Linked DNA regions of Tribolium castaneum. The protein of the gene in region 1 interacts with the protein of each later gene in a biochemical or structural test. Links are inferred from orthologs where the notes say so. Each region holds a gene or a part of one and is shown in the gene's direction. Other genes may lie near its edges.

What was found.
Region 2: the proteins of hyd (region 1) and Duba form a complex in vitro, tested with the Homo sapiens proteins (2 studies listed by BioGRID, with this or other methods). The link is inferred for Tribolium castaneum from reciprocal best matches to the Homo sapiens genes UBR5 and OTUD5.

What each region holds. Positions count from the first base shown.
Region 1 is NC_087398.1:9,885,435-9,896,817, reverse strand, and holds the start of hyd (E3 ubiquitin-protein ligase hyd), read left to right. Parts: upstream 1-5,352; coding exon 5,353-5,548; intron 5,549-5,625; coding exon 5,626-5,745; intron 5,746-5,793; coding exon 5,794-6,044; intron 6,045-6,091; coding exon 6,092-6,361; intron 6,362-6,410; coding exon 6,411-6,690; intron 6,691-6,738; coding exon 6,739-6,846; intron 6,847-7,067; coding exon 7,068-7,335; intron 7,336-7,387; coding exon 7,388-7,607; intron 7,608-7,654; coding exon 7,655-8,021; intron 8,022-8,087; coding exon 8,088-9,104; intron 9,105-9,365; coding exon 9,366-9,501; intron 9,502-9,621; coding exon 9,622-9,866; intron 9,867-9,917; coding exon 9,918-10,030; intron 10,031-10,084; coding exon 10,085-11,383. Other genes in the region: E3 ubiquitin-protein ligase hyd-like, read left to right, coding at 1,091-1,152, 3,362-3,562, 3,647-3,813, 3,935-4,301, 4,449-4,630, 4,680-4,861, 4,912-5,184. UniProt on the Homo sapiens protein: E3 ubiquitin-protein ligase involved in different protein quality control pathways in the cytoplasm and nucleus. Mainly acts as a ubiquitin chain elongator that extends pre-ubiquitinated substrates.
Region 2 is NC_087403.1:2,181,814-2,193,409, forward strand, and holds Duba (OTU domain-containing protein 5-A), read left to right. Parts: upstream 1-5,227; 5' UTR 5,228-5,345; coding exon 5,346-5,414; intron 5,415-5,680; coding exon 5,681-5,769; intron 5,770-5,815; coding exon 5,816-6,308; intron 6,309-6,355; coding exon 6,356-6,512; intron 6,513-6,562; coding exon 6,563-6,777; intron 6,778-8,627; coding exon 8,628-8,889; intron 8,890-8,934; coding exon 8,935-9,192; intron 9,193-10,383; coding exon 10,384-10,511; 3' UTR 10,512-10,953; downstream 10,954-11,596. Other genes in the region: Cyfip (cytoplasmic FMR1-interacting protein), read left to right, coding at 203-415, 469-648, 698-1,210, 1,626-2,236, 2,280-2,578, 2,619-2,701, 2,748-3,064, 3,111-3,679 and 5 more. UniProt on the Homo sapiens protein: Deubiquitinating enzyme that functions as a negative regulator of the innate immune system. Has peptidase activity towards 'Lys-48'- and 'Lys-63'-linked polyubiquitin chains. Can also cleave 'Lys-11'-linked ubiquitin chains (in vitro).

The sequences.
Region 1 (11,383 bases):
TTGTTTATTTAACCCGGAAAATTATCGCGCTTTGCACTAAACCCTCAAAAATGGGACCAATTGCACCAATTCCTCAAAATGCATTTTGCATCGTAATAACAACCCAGCGTTTCCAGACGCACGTCGCGTCGAATAAGTGGTCTCTCGCCCCATTGCCAGAAAGAGACGGCGATATGAAGGCACGTCTGCTCGTTGAAAAATCTGTGCCGTACAACCCACCCATGGTCATTGATCTCAGTTTTCGGTGGGTTTTTTCTCACATATTGTGAGGCAGGTGGCTGTGGAGGGCCGGTTCGGTTACTTACATTCATATTACGGTTAGGTTTTGTATTCCGGTTAAATGTACTGATTGTTTATTGCACTTTCACACACACCCAACAACACGCCTGCCATTACAAGGCAACTGAAGTTCACAAACTGACGAGGAAAGACCGAAGAGAAAACCGGAGAGGAACGAAGCCAAACGATGGAATGAAAATTTAATTCTTGGGGTTAATTAAAGAGGTGGAGATGATTTTCATGCGAAAAAAGAACTGTGACGAGCTTTTGCCAGCTTTGACAAAGCTTCGAGGAAAAAATTGATTCTTATCGGTTGGTGGTTGCATAAGATTTTTTCGTAATAAATGATAATAAAATAAGGTAAAACAAGGTAATAAAAACGGTAAAAAATGGCAGAATAAGAGTTTCAAGCATTTGGTTGGAGAAAAAAAGCTTAATATTGTAACGAATGTTATGTAATTGTATTGTTGGTTGCATAATCATTTAGTTTTTTTGTTTGGCAATAAAACTCTGTCTCAATTTAATTCTAAATAGGCGATAGTTCTGATAATGTGAGTGCCTTTGGTAAGTTTTTGCGTGTGATTTTGGGAGCTTTTTTCGCTGGTTTTTTGTTCAAATTTTGCGCTTCGGCCAACTTCAGGTCGGTTCATTGACATGTGGAAACAAGTTCGCGTCAAACTTCAAGTCATTGAAGCTAAAACCCGAAAACATGGCGAATGTTTCTCGGTTTGGAATCAAAATGTGTTGATATTTGTGGTAGCTTTTGGATTAATTTTACATTAATACATTTGTGATAAGTGTTTTAAAAGCGATGTCGTCTCTGCAGTACGTTGTTCATCCTTTACCGGGGAACGAGGAGCAGTTCAATGACAGGTGAGGCATTTCCCAACGTTGTGCATTCCTCGCTCGACTCTTCCTCCATTTTCCCTTGACTTGATTATTACATTTTTACGAAAATGGAGGAGATCGCAGCGGAGGAGATCCGATAGTTTTACGTCTCAAGGGCGGAGGCTCCTCTCCTCCTGTTGCACAATTTCAGATGGTTTCTGGAAAATTTCCGAACCGATTTGAGAACTGAAGCAATTGCATAAGACGAAGTTCGGACCGAAAGAATCGGATAAAGGCTGCGGCCGCTTCTTTATCAGGGGCGGTAGATAGGCCTATCATATATAATCGAAGCTTTGGCTGGGTGTGGGCATGGCTTTGTTCAAAATTTACATTTATCTGCTGACTTATCTAGCAAAAGAATGCTTAATTTATAGCAACTTTCGTGTCATGCTCCTATCAATGAATAAGTAAAGTCCGTGTAAAATCCACAGTTCTTGGTACCGGCAATTAAAATTCTGAGATTATTTTTGCATGCCAGATAATTGCGATTGCGACTGACATATACAGGGTGTCTCAAGATTTGTGAGTGCCGAGTTATTTTTTTGAGAAATTGTTTTACATTGTTATTCTCCGCAATCATCTTCACCATAAATAACAATATACACTAAAACTTTAGTTCTGCATTTGAAGAAAACGCAATTCAAAGAGTGATCTTCAAACAAATCTTTGTGGAGAAGCTCCAAATCTTTTCTATGTTTGGAATACTGAAGCAATTCTCTATAATGCTCTGAACTCGAAATCTGTCAATTTTAAGTCACCCTGTAGGTTGTCCGAATTTTTTACTACTTCGGGCATCTTGTATAACACATTTGTTACGTCTTTAATAAAATGTTAACAATAATCTAAAAATCAGATAATTGTACTACCAGATAATGACATGTCAGTAAATTTGGAAAGAGCTTTATATCCAACCATCGAATAAATTATTTTTTTTTTAATTCACTCATTCTTTTTTTTTACGAACCCTTTATTAAAAAAAGAATAAAAATTAGGAGGACATTTATTTTCCTTGTTGCACAAACTGAATGCTAATGAATACGAATTAAAAAAAATCTACTAAATTGTTGATAATGTGATATTATTTATATATTTTTATTTTCGAATTATTAACATAGTAAAATTAGATAGTAATTTTAGTACAGCAAGTGTTGAATTATTTTGAAAAAAGGTGATTAAGTGCCAGAAAAATTTCGATACGAAAACAGAAATAGGGGCAAATACCGTATCGCTAACAATTTTTAATGTAAATGTGGAGACAAAAATTTTTAACAAAAAAATAAGGGAAATGCAAAATAATTATCAAACAGAAAACAATTAAATAAAGCTCTTTACATCACACTTGGCGAAGGAACCGACAAAAGTATAATTATTTTTTTTTAAACTTCGACTGAAGAAGAATTTAGTTTAAATAAATAACAGAATGTCTTTTTTTGCTAAAAACTTTAACTTGGCTAATAATTTTTCGGTAGATGTGTCCTTCTTTATTACAATTCTTATTCGAAACGCTTATTTTTACCCATAATATTGTTTAATACCTAAAATGTATCTTGATTCATGAAACAAAAATAGGTAAAATAAAAAAATTATAAACAAAAAACTATTGGTAATATGGATATTTTCTTGATGTTAATCAATTTTCCTGATCATTTTACATAAGATAGTATCAAAATAGTTCTACTTTTTCGAATAGTTTTGCCGTAATTGAGAAAAAAATTGTAAATACTATCTTCTAAACATTCAAAATTTTAAGAAAAAAAATATATTGTATAGATTTTTATCTGTTCTTTACGATGGAACAAACTGTTTTGCTCTAAGGGTTATAGTTTCGCCGTAATTGTTTCCTTTTTTATAGACACAAAGTGGTGATTTTAGGTGTAAGTACGAAATAACGCACTGAAAAGACAGAAGTCTATCTAATTTTTGATAAAATCTTCCGATGAAAACAGCTAATTTTTTAAGAAATTTCTTGGGACAAAAACAGTAAACATATAAAATTTGTGGCCCATGGAGATGAGTTGCTGCCGCTTATTGTTCCTTAACTTCATTTTGTAATTTTGTACGTTAGCGTTTTAAAATTCCGCCATAACAATACTTTTTTGGCGAACTTTTGGTGGGGAAACATTGATCTAGATAATAGTACTTCTCTCTAGTAATGATCAAGAATATAGTCTGTACCTTCTTTCTGTTCTTTTAGACTGAAAGAAGTAGCTGATAGAATCAACCGCCTCGGCCACACCTCGCACCCAGGTCTGTCCAGCCTCCGTTCCGGTATAAAAAAAATCTGTCTCGGCCCTTCGTTTATCGCCCTTCTTCTCGACGATGGCCGTGTATGTCGTGTTTCCTACAACGTCCTCTCCGACCGTTTAGACCTCAGCAAAAATGACTCGACTAAAAAGTGAGTATTTGACGCACAGTGTCGTCGTTGTGTCCATTTTTAACACTGTGCCTTATTAAATCTGTTCGTTTCCACCAACCAAAGACCTTGGTTGTTGCGTAGTTCCGGTGGCGGTGCTACTGGCGGCTCAAGCGGTGGTGCTGGCGGTGGCAGCGGCAGCAGCAAACCCACCGGAAGCGGAAGACAGATGCCCAGGACCAGGGCCAGGATTATGCGCTCGAATACGGCCATCAGAGGTGGAAGCAATAGCGGTGAGTTTCTTCCTCTGTATTTCGTTCATATGAAGATTTAGTGTTTGTCCAGACCCTTTTCAGGGCAATATACTTGGTTTAACTCTGTCGTCCTTAAATGTACAGAGTCCTTTACTTTCAGGCGGTCGTGGTGCTCCGGTTATCATAGGAACGAGCAGTTCGAGCAGTGGAAGGCCGATGGTGACGGTGCCAGCGCCCTACGTCCCAGAAGAGCTGGTTTCGCAAGCTCAGGTGGTGCTTCAGGGGAAGAGCCGGAATTTGATAATACGGGAGTTGCAACGCACAAATCTTGATGTTAATTTAGCCGTTAATAATTTATTGTCGCGCGATGATGAAGAAGGAGAGGAAGGAGACGATGCAGCTGATTCTTACGTTCCAGAGGATCTAATTTCGCTGCTTGACGGAGGGTTTCATACCGATCATTCGGTGATAATCGATGCTGATGCGATGTTTTCCGAAGATATGTTTGGATATTCGGGCATTAGGAAGTAAGGATTTTTGGTTTGATCTGTTTGACTCGCTTTTTGTGTAGTTGCGCTTTTTTTGTTGGTTAACAACTCTATCGCTTGCATTTTTTTCTATTTTTTTTGCATTTTAACTAACTCGTTGGGAATGTTTGACTTTGCTCAAACAAGCTTCCTTAATAGTCGCGGCAGTGGAAGGAGTCGATTGGCCGACAGAGATGCACCACCGAGCAATAGTTCGAATTCAGATCGAGACAGAGAGAATTTTTCGAGGTGGAGAGATCGTCAGTATTTCGGACCTAGGAGGTGGCTTGAAACGGCACTAAGGGAAAGTCCGTACGAAAAAGATTCAGGTTGGTGCTAGTGATTTTTATTGAATACGACATTAAATACCAAATTTAGATCACAAGAAGAAAGACAGCGCGTGTCCACTTTGGATTTCCGACGACTTGGAATTTTGGCCCGATTCTGCACCGAAATTCGTCCAAATTGCGAGTCTCTACTCGGAATTAATCGCATTGTCGAGTAACGGACAATTGTTTCAATGGCGTTGGAACGACCCCGAACCTTACAGACATCCAGAGGTACGTTCATAGACACTTGAAACCAACCGAAATGCATTTATTCGTTCCAGAATTGTAACATACATCACCCCAAGACAGTTCCTTTGGGTCTAATGGGCGAAAAAATCGTCCATCTCTCGGCTTGTTGCACCCGTTGCTCGGTCTCAACCGAAAGCGGCAAAGTCGCCACTTGGTTAGACGAGCTTTTGGCGCCAGCAGCAGCTAAATTGGAACATTCAGCTCAGGCCTATTCCGAGTTTCAAACTGACAAGGTTGCAGCTTTGTACACGTGTCCGTTGTACACGGTTGCGAAGCTTGAAAGTGGTGCTTTGTACTGGTGGTGAGTATTGATTCACGTATATTATTGACCCATTTTGCTAAAAAAATTGATTAAAGGGGCGTTTTAACCGTTTGCTCAACGCAAACGATTGTGGGAGAAATACCGTACAAAGTGCCGGAAACAAAGACCTTCAAACAATCAATCAGAGATCGTTACTGGGTCGCAAGTTTGTATGAAGAACAGTCCCATGTATCAAGCGGGTGCGATAGGGTTTACCATCGCCAATGGAGTACCAAAAGTGGGCCAATTACAGAATGCGGCTTGGACGTTGAGCGATACTTGCACTTTTAAGATTATCAACGTGCAAACGAGTGGAGCTTCGAGTGCCGATAAGGGGAGAGATGCCGTGCCGGGCCCTAGCGGGTTATGTAAGTCTTTTTTGATATTTATAAACTATTTTATCTGTACTGGACTTAAATGTTTACGGGGTTAATGTTCGTTGCAGCGAATTTAACAAATAAAAGTTCGTCGAATAAAGAAAACGCCGATAGGCTTGATATGCCACCGCCACCATCGCCGGCTTCGAGTACTTGCAGCGATACCGGAAGTATTTCAAACAGTCACAGTAAGTTTTCTACAGTTATTGTAAAACCAATTAATAAAACAATTAAAGAGCGCCAAAAACGCATGACCGTGTCTGGGAGCGACACCGGTTCGGAGCAAAGAAAAGACGAAGAGGAGTGGCTTCTACGGAATGTAATTTTCGTGGAAGATGTACGAAGTGTTCCAGCAGGTCGCGTTTTGAAAGTGGACGGTGCTTACGCCGCCGTCAGATTTCCAAGTGGACATTCCAGAGATCGTGACGCCAAAGATGCCGACGATATTTTCCAAGATTGTCGATTGATGCGCAAGGACGACCTCCAAGTATGAACAATAATTTGGTTTCGGTCAAAATTATTTGTGTTTTGTAGGTGATCAAATCGTCGTCTAATTCACGCGTTCCTGACTGTTTTCAAAAAACACCTCGACGTATCCAAATTTCCGACAATAGCAATCAAATTCTCACGATTGCCGTTGATGGACAAGGCATACATGCCATAGTTCGGAACGGGAGTAAATTGAGTTATGTCGTTTACAACGTCAGTAGCGGAAGAATTGAACAAGATAATCCATTTCCGAGCGACACTGCTTCGTTCATGGGGCTCTATCCACATTTGATCAACTTGATTTGTGCTGGAGAAGTATGTCGTTTGTAGTGTTTGCCTGATTGTTACATTGTTTGTATTTCAGAGTTCTGAAACAATTTTGGTTTTGCGCGACGGTAACAGCACGATTTACCCCCTCAGTAAAGATTGCGCCGATGCGATTCGCGACCCACAATGTCTAGACTTGCCTCCAGTCAAGTGCCTGACAGCTGGTACATTTGGTTTGACTGGAACCGGCCTCAACATGAAGAATCAAGTGGCTATTGTTGTCTTTGCACTTGAACAACAACTACTCATGCCGAAAATACTACGTTGTGATATTGATGGCGTCCGGCAAGTTTTGGCCCAACTAGACAGCGATTTGAGTAAGTTTTACTATTTTCCCGTGTGATATTGTGATGAAAAATTTTCAGAAGCCAACATTTCGAATATCTTAAACGAACGTTGCGACGGCAATCGTAACATTTTCCACGCTGTTGTGAACATGTGTACGCCGACGTCGAACAAGGAAACTGAAAGCGGTGAGTTGGCCAAATTTATGCTTTAGGTGATTACGTTAGGCTCAAGTCGCGTGCGTAGCTTGATTTGTTGGGATCGTCATTTCCAGACCCGTCAGCTGGCCTGGAATGTATCAATGTGATAACGAACGCCGTAGGCCCTCGATCAGTTACGCTACGCGATATGATGCGTAGAGCCGTTGTACGTAGCGAAAGCGCACTCAACAATACTTCTAACTCTGCAGATCAGCACAGTTTCGTCCAAGAAGAACCGATACCGACACACAGTTGGCCACCGGAAAGCTTCGATGTTACGTCAGGCGATGAGGATAGTCTGATGGGTTTGGGAAGCAGTGCTGCCAATAATAAAGGGAGCGGAAACAACAGTAACGCACCGACGAATCTCGTCGTCGATCCAGTTGAAAGACGATCAAACGCGATGCAAATCTTACACGCGCTTTTGTATGATTCCTCGGCTTTGGAGTCGCATCTCATCGAGCTTTTATGTGCAAAGTAATTTTTTTCTCTGCGAGTTTGATTAAATAACCATTGGGATTGGTTTTAGGGATGCACAAGGTCAAACTCCGTTCATGTTGGCCGTATCGTCGCGAAGTTATCCAGCCGCGTTGGAAATTTTCGAAAGAATCATTAAATTGGGGACTCCTCAGGAACGCGAAGAGATGATCTTTCCGAAAGGTTCAAATCCGGATCACTCACCTCTGCATGTTCTGTGCTGCAACGACACGTGTAGTTTTACCTGGACTGGGGCCGAACACATCAATCAAGTAAGACATGGTACGAAAAAAAATAGTTTTTGTAATTAAAATTGTAGGATATTTTTGAATGTCGCACTTGTGGCCTCACCGGAACGCTTTGCTGCTGTACGGAGTGTGCGCGTGTTTGCCACAAAGGCCACGATTGCAAGTTAAAAAGGACTTCGCCTACGGCTTACTGCGACTGCTGGGAGAAATGTAAATGCAAAGCATTGATAATGGGGAACCAAACGGTCCGTTACGAACTTTTGACACGTTTGGTTAAAGAAACCGATCTCGTCTGTTTGCCGAATTCACGCGGCGAAAGTATCTTGCTGTTTTTGGTCCAAACTGTTGGTCGACAAAATCAAGAACAGCGACAGTTTCGTCACACCAGGCCCAGGACGGCATCGGCAAATTCCCGAAATAAAACACCTTCTTCAGATAGTGAGACTCTTTATTCTTATTTGACTCGTATTAACTGTCCGTTTGTGTATTCTCCTTCTGTTTCAGTTGAGACCGATATGCCCGAGCATGATTTAGAGCCTCCCAGATTCAGTCGTCGAGCTTTGGAGTGCCTTTTAGGCGACTGGAAAGCCGTTCAAAGTATGATAATGTCGGGGACTCGAGACGTTTCCGAAACACAATTCACCGAACAACCTTACGTCTCCAAACAGACCGGAACGGCACTTTTGGATAAATTCTCCTTGTGTTTCCTTGTCAAATGCCAAATGGTAATCGACGTACTTCTCGAAACCTTGATCAGAGAAATGAAAAATCCAGATGCGAAACAAGCCCAATACGCCACAATGGTTTCGCGGCGATTCGTCCGCTCAGTTGTGCGTATTTTTGTCGTTTTTTCCATCGAAATGGCACCGAACTCGACGAAACGACGCAGTTTAAGCAACCAAAACCAACCGTTGACTAAATGTCGCAAAATATTCCAAGCTTTGAGCAAACTATCGATTGAGGAGCTGTGTGAGAGCGCTGACGCTATTATGGCACCGGTTCGATTGGGCGTAGCACGACCAACTGCCCCCTTTTCACTTGCAACATCCGTAAATGACGTTCTAAACGGATCGGAAGAATTATTCCTAGTTGATCCTTTAGCACCGTCGAGTTCACGACCTTCTGGGTCTTCAACAATGCCGCGGTTTCCGTTTTTGGCCGAAGCTGTGCGAAGAGCGGCCGCTAATGCACGCGATCTGGCAAACGCTCGCGATTTATTGAATTTGAATGATGGTGAAAGTATGGCGATTGATAATGACGATGATAATGCGTCCGAACATGAGGATGTTCCCGCTGATCGTGAATTGCCAATTACTGTTAGACAGTCGTCGACTAATGAAAATGAAACGGTCGAAGCTGCTCCGTACCAACAGGAAAGTCGAATCCAAGGCGAGGAAAGCGATCCCGAATTGGATCTGTTGGCGGAGACGGAGTCGGATAGTGATGATAATCATAGTAATCAGGATGCTGCATCTGCACAGAGGTCGGTACAGACGGGAGCAACGGCCGGATCTGATACCGGTAAGTCAATTTGATTGGTGGAGAGAAAGGGAGAGAGTGAGGAGCTAGCTCATACCTATATTAATCTATACTGCAAAAAAAAGACATAATTTAAAAAAACAATGTTTCAAACATCGCATTATCTTAATAACGTATTGCATTCAGCAATTTATTTCTTGTGTGCCGACGATACACACAGGGTCTAAGGCAGTATATTTTAATATAGGCGTGTGAGAGCGGGTGGTTGGTTGCATGTGTATGCAATTCTGTGTAACTTATCAGGAGGTATGCTGCTGTTCCCGGAAGACGAAAGCGGCGAGTCAAGCCAACAGGAAGAGGAAGAGAGCGAAGCGGGCGAAACTGACGAACAGGACACTGAAGATTATACGTTGACGGATGAACAGTTGGAGCGAAGAAGGTAAATTTGACAATTTTTCTTAGCATTTTTCTTCAAGTAATTTATTTTATTATGATTATTGGCTCTTGATTTAGTGATGTTTTTTGTGTTTCTCATTACTCTGATTATTGTCTATGAAAGAAGCCGTTACAGCAATACGACCGGTCATGGACAGAGGAGCAATTTGGCCCCGCAGAATATGCAATGGGCAATACGGTCACGTGAAGCAAGCAGATCGGCTGGTGTTCGATTGGCCAACGGTTCTAATTTAGTTTTTATTGATCCCAGTACGTTAAGACGATCTACGACTGGAAGTACGGCGGTCGCTGCAAGCTCGGAACCGGTGGCCATGTCCACATCGGCCAGTTCCTTAGCTAGGGCCTTCGGTAAGTACAGCTTTTACGTACTTGTATTTTTTAACTTACTAATCATTACAGGCGCAATTATTCGCCAAATCACGGACTTGTTATCCTCACTGCCTGACCTGAATCAAGCCTTGTCGACTGTTGCACACATGGAAGTGTCACAAGATGATATCTACAACATACAAGTGAGTTTTTAGTAATTTTTCTAACTGGACACATGACTGGTTGTTGCTTCGTAGATTTATCTAGAATTCCGCCTGAAGCCGACCTGGGATTGGCTTTTGACAGTGATGGACGCCACTGAAGCCCAACTGAAATTCGGTGCATCTCTAACCAATTCTCTCGATCTTTCGAGTCCAGGTCATCCGCTCAATACCGGAATTACGACCGGAGTCTCGGCAAATAATTCAAGCAATCTTCGATCGAGTGGTCACCGGGGTCATACCATTTCCAGTAGTTCTGGTACACGATTGGTCGGTTTTACCACAAACGTGGAAAGTCGAACTCGACCTGAACGCGATGGTGTGGACGCTCACGCGGCCCGGAGAGAATTTCTCTCCTATTGTTTGTCATTAATGAGAGCTCACAACAACGAACATTTGGATTCGTTACCGATTTTGGACGTTTCGGCTTTGAAACACGTTGCTTATGTTTTCGATGCTCTGATTTATTTTATGAGGTCGGGATCATCTGACCGCAATGATACTGACTTGCGACGTGATGGTTTTTCGCTTCCGTTGTGGAACGATCAAGACGAGAACGAGAACGAAGAAGCTGAGGAAGACATAGCCGTGGCAATGGAAACTGAAAGTTTGGAAGACCAAGATGTTTCTAATCTTGCGACGATTTCGAGTACTTTAAATTCGTCGAGTTTGCAAGGAGGGTCGGGAAAAGGTCGCAAACATTCGTTTTTCCAACGATCGGAATCCACTTTGTGTCTAGGTTGTCCTCCACCAGATCCTTTTGAAACGCCAATGGCTGAAGCACTACCACTGGCCGACCAACCTCATCTCCTACAACCCAATGCAAGAAGGGAAGATTTGTTTGGGATTCCGAAACAACCAATCACTTTGGCCTCCACTGGAACCATTTCAAACAATCCTCTCGAATCACTTCCTACGAAATTGAGTCTTTCGACTCGAACTACCGATTTTGCGATGAGTCAACCGGCAAAAGCCAACCACCCAATTTCCCAATCGTTAAACGTTATGGGCCCTAACCCCTTGATTTACCCCCAAAATTACAACCCAGAAACAGAAACAAACGCTCGAGAAGTGCACGTCCAGACTGAAACCTACTCCAACGAACCGTCAACATCCGATGAAACCAAAAACAAGAACTTGCAAACTTTTGAGAGTCTCCTCGCCGCTGTTAAGAATGAAATTGGCGAAAATAGCAAAGAAAACACTCCGCATGACTTATCCTCGCGACATAATCAAGAAGTACCGACATCGAGGCCGCAGATTATCGTCTCGCCGAGAAAAATTTCCGAAGTTTCGAGTCAGGAGCAACAAGAAGGTTTGAATGGTTCGAGCGAA
Region 2 (11,596 bases), on another chromosome or scaffold:
TGCCGCACCTAAAAATGTTAAATATTTCTAAAATAGCACAAAATTAGTTAAGTTTGTTGTTGATAACAAATAGCCACGTTCTGGGCCATGTTTCTAAGAGTGTGTTTTTGTGTGGTTCCATTGACTGCAGTCTCAAATTTGGTTTTTTCCAGATTGATTAAATTATTTTCTCTCTGGAAAAACAGCAAGTGGAGTGCTTGAAATGGCAGGAACTGATCGAGTTTCGCTGAGTGACGCATTATCCAACGTTGATGTACTAGACGAACTTCCTTTGCCTGATGAACAACCGTGCATTGAGGCCCAACCTTGCTCAGTTGTCTATCAGGCGAATTTTGATACAAATTTCGAAGATCGGAACGGGTTTGTGACAGGAATTGCCAAATACATTGAAGAGGCAACAGTACACGCAAGTCTCGTAATTATTAAATGAGCCATTTGTGTCCCCTGTGTCAGTCAGGTCATTTACAGAACGAGTTATTAGAGGAAGGGCAGGAGCATGCTGTCATGCTCTACACGTGGAGGTGCTGCTCTAGAGCCATTCCTCAGCCCAAATCTAACGAACAACCAAATCGGGTCGAAATTTACGAGAAAACTGTCGAAGTGCTCGCCCCCGAAGTGAACAAACTCTTGAACTTTATGTATTTTCAAGTAAGCCCCTTTTAACTCAACCCGGTTAGGACTCCCTTAATCATTTCAGAAAAAAGCAATCGAGCGGTTTTTCGAAGAAGTAAAACGATTATGTCACACCGAAAAAAGGAAAGACTTTGTCTCAGAAGCCTATCTCCTCACTTTGGGAAAGTTCATAAACATGTTTGCCGTCTTAGACGAGTTAAAAAACATGAAATCAAGTGTCAAAAACGACTATTCCACATACAGAAGAGCAGCACAATTTTTGAAAGTCATGTCTGATTCACAAACACTTCAAGAATCACAAAATTTATCGATGTTCTTAGCCACACAAAATAAAATTAGGGATGCTGTTAAGGAGAATCTGGAACGAATCAGTGGCTATGAGGAATTGCTAGCTGATGTTGTCAACATTTGCGTGCACATGTTTGAAACGAAAATGTACCTCACACCCAGCGAAAAACACATGCTTGTTAAAGTTATGGGCTTCGGGCTTTTCCTGATGGACAGCGAGTTGTGCAATATTAATAAGCTAGACCAGAAGAAGAAATTGAGGCTGGACCGCATTGACCGGATTTTCAAAGTGAGTGGCAAAAAATATAAAAGCAACTCGCATTTGATTGAATAACTCTGTTCAAGCTTAAATTAGTTCAATTAGTCCTTTAGTTTTTGTTATCCGAATGAATTGAAATTTTGCATAGTTACGTAATCTGCGTGACGATACAATTTTGTGTATTTAATACAAACTACAAACAAAATTAGAATTTACTCTCAAAAATCGCTTTGTATATTCAGATTATAAAGTTTAAATTTTGTGTACTTACGTCAAAAATGATTTTCAATAATTAATCAGAGAAACTGTATAATGAGTAAGCTCTTGACTTAACATTCTTGCCAGATCGGTGGCAAATTTTATATTTAATGCTTAAATAAAATCACGACTGGTTTATAAATCTACAACATTTGACCAAAATACGAGAAAGCCCGTTTTTTCGTAGAACTTGGAGGTTGTCCCTTTGTTCGGGGACATGCAGATCGCCCCTTTCAACTACATAAAGCGGAGCAAGCATTTCGACCCAAGCAAATGGCCTTTATCAAGTAGCAATACTCCCTCTCCCCAAGCCGATTTAATGGTACATTTGCCCCAAATTCGTGACGATCATGTTAAGTACATAAGCGAATTAGCGCGATACAGTAACGAAGTCACGACAACATACAAAGAAAGCGGTACTGACGCTGAAAATAAAGAAACGGCCGAACTTGCGCTCCGCGGATTACAATTACTGTCTGAATGGACAAGTGTTGTAACGGAACTGTATTCATGGAAGCTTTTACACCCAACTGACCACCATCAGAATAAAGAGTGCCCACAAGAGGCCGAGGAATACGAAAGGGCGACACGGTATAATTACAGCGACGAGGAAAAATTCGCGCTAATTGAAGTCATTGCGATGATTAAGGGATTACAAGTGCTGATGGCCAGAATGGAAACGGTGTTCACTGACGCAATTCGGCGGAATATTTACGCCGAATTGCAAGATTTCGTACAGATTATTTTGAGGGAACCGCTGAGGAAAGCAATTAAAAATAAAAAGGATCTTATCAGAAGGTAGCGCGTTTTTGTGTCCACATCACGTAACACGTTTTTTTAGTATCATTATGTCGGTGCGAGAAACTTGCGCTGATTGGCAGAGAGGTGTCGAGCCGACTCAAGACCCGGCTTTGAGGGGCAAAAAGGACGATAACGGGTTTAATGTTAAAGTGCCAAGGAGAAACGTGGGTCCTTCCTCCACCCAACTTTACATGGTCAGGACAATGCTGGAGTCGCTAATTGCCGATAAATCAGGCGGCAAAAGAACCCTGAGGAAGGACATAGACGGTCAATATTTAATGCAAATTGACCAGTTCCACAAAACCTCCTTCTACTGGAATTATCTTCTCAGTTTCAGTGGTACGTACAAAAACATTGATATTAATTCATTTCCTCCCAGAATCGTTGCAGCAATGTTGCGACCTGTCGCAGCTGTGGTACAGAGAGTTCTACCTCGAGATGACCATGGGACGGAGAATAAACGTGAGTAACGCGTAATTTTGCCAAAAATTTGCCAAACTTTTCATAGAAATGCACCGTGCGTCACGCTCATAACGAAGAATGTAACGATTTGATCACGATGGAAAAACGCATACAATTCCCAATCGACATGTCCATGCCTTGGATTTTGACTGATCATATTTTGAAAACTAAGGAACCCTCGATGATGGAGTACGTCTTGTACCCGCTTGATTTATACAATGATAGCGCGCTTTACGCACTGACAATATTCCGAAAGCAATTTTTATACGATGAGGTCGAGGCTGAAGTTAATTTATGTTTTGATCAGTTTGTTTATAAACTGAGCGAGCAAATTTTCGCGTACTATAAACAACTGGCGGCAAGGTATTGATAAAAATCATGGGAACGCTTTCACAATCAATCCTTTCAGTATCTTTCTTGATAAGCGCTTCAGAGTGGAGTGTGCCGCCTTGGGGGCTTACCTGCTCCCCTACCCGCGAGCAAATCGTTACGAAACCTTGCTAAAACAGCGGCACGTCCAGTTATTAGGGCGGTCGATCGATTTGAATAAGTTGATCACTCAGAGGATCAACACCGACATGCAGAAAAGTCTCGATTTGGCAATAAGTAAGTTCGAAGGCGGTGACATAACCGGGGTTATGGAACTGGAAGGCCTCCTACAAGTGAATCGGTTGTGTCATAAATTGCTGAGCAAGTGGCTCGCACTTGACGATTTCGATTCAATGTATCGTGAGGCTAATCACAACGTTTTGGCGCCCTATGGCCGCATCACCTTGCATGTGTTTTGGGAGCTGAACTACGATTTCTTGCCTAATTACGTCTACAATGCCGCGACGAACAGATTTACTAAGTATCGGGGGCAGATTGCTTTCGCGGGGGCTGTCCACAGAGATAAGCCGCCGCAAATGTCGCATCATTACATGTGGGGGAGCAAGCAACTGAACCTTGCCTACACGACTCAGTATGGCCAATATTCCGGTAAATCTAGCTTATGGTCCTAATTTTGTTTAACTAGTACGGTTTAGGGTTCGTCGGGCCTCAGCATTTCCACACAATGTGCAAACTCTTGGGTTATCAAGGCATTGCAGTTGTGATGGAGGAGCTCCTCAAAATTGTCAAAAGTCTGATCCAAGGGAACCTCCTCCAATTCACCAAAACTCTAATGGAGGTCATGCCAAAGCAGTGCAAATTGCCACGTTACGATTACGGCTCACCGGGTAATGATTTGCTTGATTTGGGCGGAATTAATAAGACGAATTTTAGGTGTGTTAAGTTACTACCACGCCCAATTGAACGACATTGTCCAATACCCCGATGCCAGGACCGAGTTGTTCCACAATTTCCGAGAATTTGGGAACATTATCCTGTTTTGTTTACTGATGGAACAGGCCTTGTCACAGGAGGAAGTCTGTGATTTGTTGCAAGCGGCACCGTTTCAGAATATCCTCCCACGGCCGTTTTGCAAGGAAGGGGAGAAGCCCGAAACGAAGCAGAAACGGCTTGAAGCCAAATATGCCGCCTTGCAGATTGTACCAAATATAGAGAAGTTAGGAACTGCAAAGGTTGGATAAATGTGCAAACAACTGTTTGTTATTTCGCCAATTTGTAGCAATCTTTGATATCGAAGGAGGGCGATTTATTGACCCGTGAGCGGCTGTGCTGCGGTCTCTCGATTTTTGAAGTTGTTTTGAACCGATTAAGGACCTTCCTGGACGATTCGGTTTGGGTCGGACCGCCGCCTGCTAACGGTGTCATGAACGTTGACGAATGCACCGAGTTCCATCGCTTGTGGTCGGCTTTACAATTCGTCTATTGTATTCCAGTTAGCGAGAACGAATATACTGTCGAGTGGGTACCGACTTTATGTTTCGTTTTATTTATTCCGTGTTTCAGGGAAATGTTTGGCGAAGGTTTGCATTGGGCGGGGTGTACAATGATCGTGCTTCTGGACCAGCAAAGGCGGTTTGAGGCCCTCGATTTCTGTTACCACATTCTGAGAGTACAAAGAGTTGACATGAAGGATGAAATTGTGAAAGGCATTGTATGTTGGTTGTACGGTTGTTTTCGGTCTATAATTGTCTTTCCCAGAGCTTGAAGAGAATGGTGGACAGGATCAGGCGCTTCCAAGTGCTCAATTCGCAGATCTTTGCGATTTTGAACAAGTTTTTGAAGTCGAGTGAGAACGACGAGTTGTCGGTTGAACATGTACGTTGTTTCCCGCCACCGGTCTACCCAATGAATCCGCAACAGCACTACCACGCACCCGAACATCTACGCCAGTGTTGAAGCACGTTTATTTTATACATTTGTTGGAATCAGCTTTCAACATTTTATAATCTTTTATATTTATTATAGTCCTACTACATGTGTAAATCTCATTACAAATGTATCGCCCACCCTCATTTATTATCGGCCTTATTGGTATTGCTTTAATTTTTCATAATAAAATTTTCGATGCCTGCTTGAGTGTGTTTTATTTCGCGCGTTGTTTCAAATTCAGGGCTGCCAACCGGGGACTTAGTCCCGCTGGTGACTGTTGATAGCAGCTGTTCGTCGTGTGTTGACAGTAGTTGAGAGATTTGTCAAACTATAGAAAATAATTCAATAATTTTGTAGTATTTTCTGTATTTTGAAAAATTAGACAATGACAATTTTACCAGCCAAAAGACCTTCGGCGAATCCGGAGGAGAAAAGCGACAATAGTCAGCAAAATGTGAGTAGATATGTTAAACTTGTCATTTTTGATCTTTTTTTAAGGAGAAACTTCATAATCATAAATCGTGTTATCTTTATTGTCAGCGTGTTGGACTAGCGAAATCTTTGCTTGATCTTGAAATTTTGTACACGATTGCGTAATTAGATAGGTTTAATAATGTAATAATGTAAAATAGGTAGGTAATGATTGCTTTCCAATACTAGCTCAAGAGCTGTCTAGGTCGGCTTCCTTTGTTCGAATAATTAAGGCCCGACTTTTTTTAGGGGAATTCCGAGCGAGCGGTGCGTAGGAGAGACGATATAAGTTCTCTGAATGAGGCAAGCCCTTCAAGCCGCCGATCTCAGTTCCCCTAGTAAGTTTCCACCCTCAATCGCGGAAAAATTCATTCTTGCTTCCAGCGTCAAGTCAACAACTGAGCGGAAAGAGCGTTTGAGGAAGCGATATAAAGAGCCAGATCGGGCGCGAGATAGGGAACGCGAGCGCGAACAAAAACGGGAAGTTCGGAGGGAACAAAAACGGGAACGAGTTGCTAAACGCGATATCTCAAATGAGCCTCTACATGACAATAATGCGAGTAATTCGGTTGTTGACTCAGTCGCTGTTGAGCCCACTTGCAACAACAACGAACCTGGGACTGCGAACAAGGAAGACTACACGGGCTTCAACAGCGAGGATGAGTACGATGACCAGGGACTCCTCAAAGAGCGGAACATACCGGATGAAGAGTGGCAAAAAAGGGACGTGTTATTTTCCCGCGGCATGTCCAACCTTGGGTTCGAAATCAAGCAAATGAACGAAGATGGGGCCTGTCTCTTCCGGTCGATAGCAGACCAAGTGTACGGCGACCAAGAATTCCATTATCAAGTCAGGCAGGACTGCATGAACTACATCGTAAGTTGTACGCAAAGTGGGGATTTTTTCTAATTTGTTTCTGGAAGGTTCAAAACCGTGACTACTTTGAACCTTACGTGACGGAGGATTTTGATAAATACGTTGCACGGAAACGTATATGGAACGTACATGGCAACCATTTAGAAATACAAGCAATGAGCGAGTTATATAATAGGACAATCGAAGTTTATTGCTACCAAATAAGTAATTTTTGCCTTTCTTCCGCCTGATTTTTACTAATACGCCGTTTCCAGCACCAATCAATATATTCAATGGTTCAAGATTAATTAACTCATATGAGCCTATTAGATTATCATACCACAGGATGTGTCATTATAATTCTATTAGTAACCCAAATAAACCTTCAGTAGGGGTAGGCTTAGGTTTACCCAATTACCATACCGTTGATATTGACAGAAGAAGGTTCAATGACGCTCTGCGGGCTAGTGATGAGTTGCTAATTGAACAGGTAAACCAATCAAATAATTCCCATTCATAAAAAAGTCACTGAATTTTTATAACATACTAACCACACAGTGGCGTACCAAAACATGTCCCTTTCTTCGCTCCCGCTGATTAAAAATGTATTATTTAAATTGATTACGTTCGGGGTTTTTTGCCCATTCGTGAAAAAAATATTTTTTGCGCCGAGTTTTGTAGAATTCTTTGGTAGAATTTTTGTCTTATTCGTTACTAATCAATTTTTTTCTTGTAGAAACGTGCTGATGGAGCTCGGTCGGAACCGCTTTGTCGCGGTACAAACTACCAAGTACAATGGTTTTTAACAGTGAAATTTAAAATATGGAACGTAAAAATAGTAAAATAAAATTTTATTTCAATTTATCACGATGGGAAATCGCAGTCGTCGTATTTTTGTGATTTTCTTGTTTTTATCAATAAATATACACTCACTTGTTATTGTTACGCCACTGGGAAACCTCATGTTGCGCATGAGATAAGTTACGGTTTTGCTTGCTGTGCGCACTCCAGGTAGCAGGCCCCACCTTTGTTCAAGGCTGCAAAACGGTTAGATAACGAAGCCTCAGGGGCGGAGCACAGCCACTGTCACAAGGCAGTAGCGTAGATGTAATCGAAAACACTTCGGTAAAAATTATAGGGGCTTTCACGAATTATTCTCAAAATTTTAACAATTACGCCTATCACTTTCTTCAAAATAAATAAAAGTACAACAAAACCCACATAAAACCTAGACTCGCGCTCATTACAGTATTATTACAATGTAAAATGAAGCTACTAGCTCGCTTTGGACGTTTTTTTATGTATTTTGAGGAATCGAATTCTTATTACAAAAATTCTACAGTGAAACCTCGTTATCCGAATTTAAAAAAGTAAAATTCGAGTTAAGGCGAATTCGTGTACACACTTCGCTCAGACTTTTTTTTGCTTTTACGCCAGTATTACTAATAAATTAAATTACTAATAAATCCTAATAAACATTTCACTAACCACAAGCGATGTCATAAAATTGACAGAAATAACACTTCAGAACCGGTGAGAGTGTAACGTATCTGTAGCCATGGGGGTACATTTTGAGACACACTGTACAGCACCGCTTTTATTACACTGTGTTTCGATCTACATTTATCGAAGCGACACGTAAGAAATGACAAAGGCGTTTTTTTCACCGCTTAAACTTATCTGTGCGTTCAAATCCACACAGGGACAAGTCACAATCCCTTGTAAGTGCCATTTTTAAGTCAAATTACTAAGCGTACTAGGCGTAATGAATGTGAGGTTATACATACCATTTTTTCGGTGAATTGGGACGGGGTTGCACTTTGCACTGTTAAACCCACACAAAGTGAATTATTGCAACAGTTTCGATGTAATATTCAAATTAAGTTGTGTACCGCACTGCTATCACTACATTGTCTAGTAGGGGGTGCCAACGTTGAAAACTCAAAAACCACGCAATGTTCACTAGCAAAATATAAAAACAAACATAAAAAAACACCCAGGCACACATTTTCACATATAAATTAACAAATTTACAAGTTTTGGTGGCGGGATTTCAACAAGTATGTGGACGCGAGATGGCGGTATAATCGTCCGGGACGTTTCTGTTCTCTGATTGGCTGTTGGTGTATAATACAATACTCGGAAATATTAGAAGATTAATTTTTTCCGACGTGATATATGCGTACAGATAGTGTTGTTTTGAATTACTAAGTGTTAGCTTTGTATTACAAAGGTTATTATATTTTTTTTCGTCTGTCGTGGATCTAGTTACGTGCATCCGTGAGACCCGAAATTGGCGCCCTGATTGACAGTTGTCTTGACTAATCAGAATCTTTCTAGACTATGCTAGAAGACAAGTTGAAAGCAACCGACTTTGAAGCCACCAACGAAGCCATCGAAGAACAGGTAGCTCGCGAGTCCTACATCCAATATTTTCGCGACTCAGAACGCCGTTTGAAGAACCAAGGACACTCCTGTGGTAGCAGTTCAACGATAACATCAGCAACCATGTCCAGCTCGCGCTCGTCGAGGAAAGGCTCGGTCTCCCCGAAGGGATCGCAGTCCCCCAAAGGGTCCAACTCGCCAAAGACAACACCACTAGGTACTCAAGTGTGAGTCGATGGCGTTTTTTAACATTTCCTTGCAGCGAGCCCCCGAGGCGCTGGGGCGCCGTCCCCATCGACTAGCCGCTATGAGGCCGACGTCAGCGGGGGCGATGTGGCGGGAGCCTGCGGTGGACCACCGGAGGAATTTCCGAAATTTTCGCCGCGCCGTTCTGAGCCCCCGGCCGAGGATGTTAATAACCCGGACTATGATGAAAATTTCAACGAGGACTTTAAATTTGATTTTGATTCCGATTCGGATCAGTCGGCTGGGGCCGGGCCATCAAACCGCGGTGATATAGGTTTGTCTGATTTTTGCTTCAAACAAAATGGACGTCGATTAAGTGCATTTTTCGGACAAAAATTGATATTTTAGCGATTTTTTCAGCTAGCCCTCCGGCCAAATGCGCTGCTTCATCGCAGGATAATCGAGTTATTACGGTAGGGTTAGCTTAGAAAAATTCTAAGCCCACATGTAATTGGGCAAAAATCGTGGTTCCTGAAGAGATTAGAGCTTGTAAAAGCTGTAGGTACAGCTAAATGGACCACCTATATTTTTTGCATTTTTGGATGCAGCTTTTAAAACTAATGACTTTGACTTTTATTTTTTTGAACTTTTGAACTTTTATTATTTTATTATACTTGTTATTATATTTTTTCACTTAGTAACATTATCATTTACAATTTTTCTTCATGTGTCACTCGCTATAACATACTACAATTTAATTACGTTATTGTAATTTAAAGTATCTGACAATTTAAGATATATTCTTTGGGGAAGCTTTTAAAAAAACATGGAATATTATTTTGTACTTTTTGCATATTGTGAGTGATTAAATTTAAAAAATATACAGAGCACTTAAAAACTGGCGCACCACGTTCTTGAGAAGCAAATGTAGATTACAGGAAAAATCTTAAAAAATTCCTACATTTATATTATAAAAAATATGGGCATACAAATTTACTTTGTTGACTCTTTTTTAATGTTTTTATGTTTCACACTTCCGATACCGGCTGTTAGACAATGATGCCACATATTTGACAGTCACAATTTAAGACAATTTAAAGAAAACACACATTAAAAATCTCCTTTTTATTTATTTTTCCAGAGCCACACGTAATTGAAAAAAATATTTACCGTTACATTCTGTTGTACGAAAAAAAACAAGCAATCTTAAGTATTATACATTATACAACCAAACAGCATATTAAATATCAATAAAAAATGCATTATTCTTTTTACTATTATTTACTTCCCTTTTTTCATTCTCATTTTTTTTGTTTCATTTACATTTTATTTATCTCATTTACTCTTTTTTCCTATTTAAGCATGGTTATGAATGTTTTATTCTCGTATTTTTTTTGCCCGGCGAATCGATTTAGATTTATTAAAATAAAATTTCGCTAAAATGTCAACTTTTGTCATCAAGCCGAAAACATCTGGCGGAAATGCACGGAAATATTTAATTTTAAAATGTGTGTGACTTTTACAGATTACGACAATTATGACCAGGAAATCATGGCCCAAGTGCTGGCCGAGTCGCGCAAAACTTACTTAGCTGAACTTAAGCAGCGATCCAAGAAGCGTCATGGATCTCCGGGACCATCCACTTCATCCTAGTTTAAATACTAAATTAATTGAGTTACATGTTCGTGCTTTCGTTTCATTTTTAGTTAATTAAGGTTCATTGTTTGCTTTTCAAGGTATGCAATTGCTTTGTTTTGTTATATAAAATGCATATCTTGTAAAATTGTATTGGCATGTTATAATCGTTTTTTAGTTAAAACGACCTTCCTCCACCCAGAAGATTAGTTTCGTTTTTTTGGAGAAAGAGCTTTCGTTTCTAGTACCGTAGTTTCGATTTTGCATGGATTGTGGGGGGGTCGTTTGTAAAAAAAAATTCAAAATGTTATATTTTGAGACACTGTTTCACGGATGTAAGTTTCGCCCTCTAAATTTCAGTGTCAAAAAGTATTTTATTTATGTTTTCAGATATCTATAAGTATATGTACTTATGAGTTCCAATGTATTTCAGTTTCGTTCAAATAAAATTGTTGTGATATTTGGCGTTTCATAATTGGACTAATCATGGTCACACCCAAAATTAAGACAACCAAGGTTGTTGCATACCAAATTATAGGTATTTCGTCACGTCGTTAAATATTTTGCCCTCAAAACAGAATAATTAACGTGGATGCTCCACTCAGGTAATTTGTATGCATATTAGGAAGAAAATATTTAGCAACATCGTAATGTACTTAACATGCATATCCCATAATGGTGTGCTTGGATTACTTAATTACAATGCCAAAAGAGAAATTCGCTAAGAAAAATATTATTTGAATTAATAACAGGGGCGGGCCTAGGACAGCTTGACTAACATGTGCGTGTTGCCAATTTGCGCACGCGTGTGCCATGGCCACCTATTGCCAATTTAAATTTTCGTCACAAACGACCGGCTATGTTCAATAATTTGGGAAAATATGGTGACTGTTCGGCGGGATTTGCCCCATTCTCTGAATTTCGTTGGTTATTTGTGCCAACTTGTGTTTTGTTTACATGACGTGGGGTTGCTCTCTGTCTTGTAGCTGGTGGAGGGGCGAATGTGCGGAGTCCGGGCCTGGCGGAGGCGCTGTTGCCAGTTGGTGTTGTTCAGGCAGTGATTTTGAGAAAAATAAGGAGAATATCGGTTGGTGGAGTCCAGT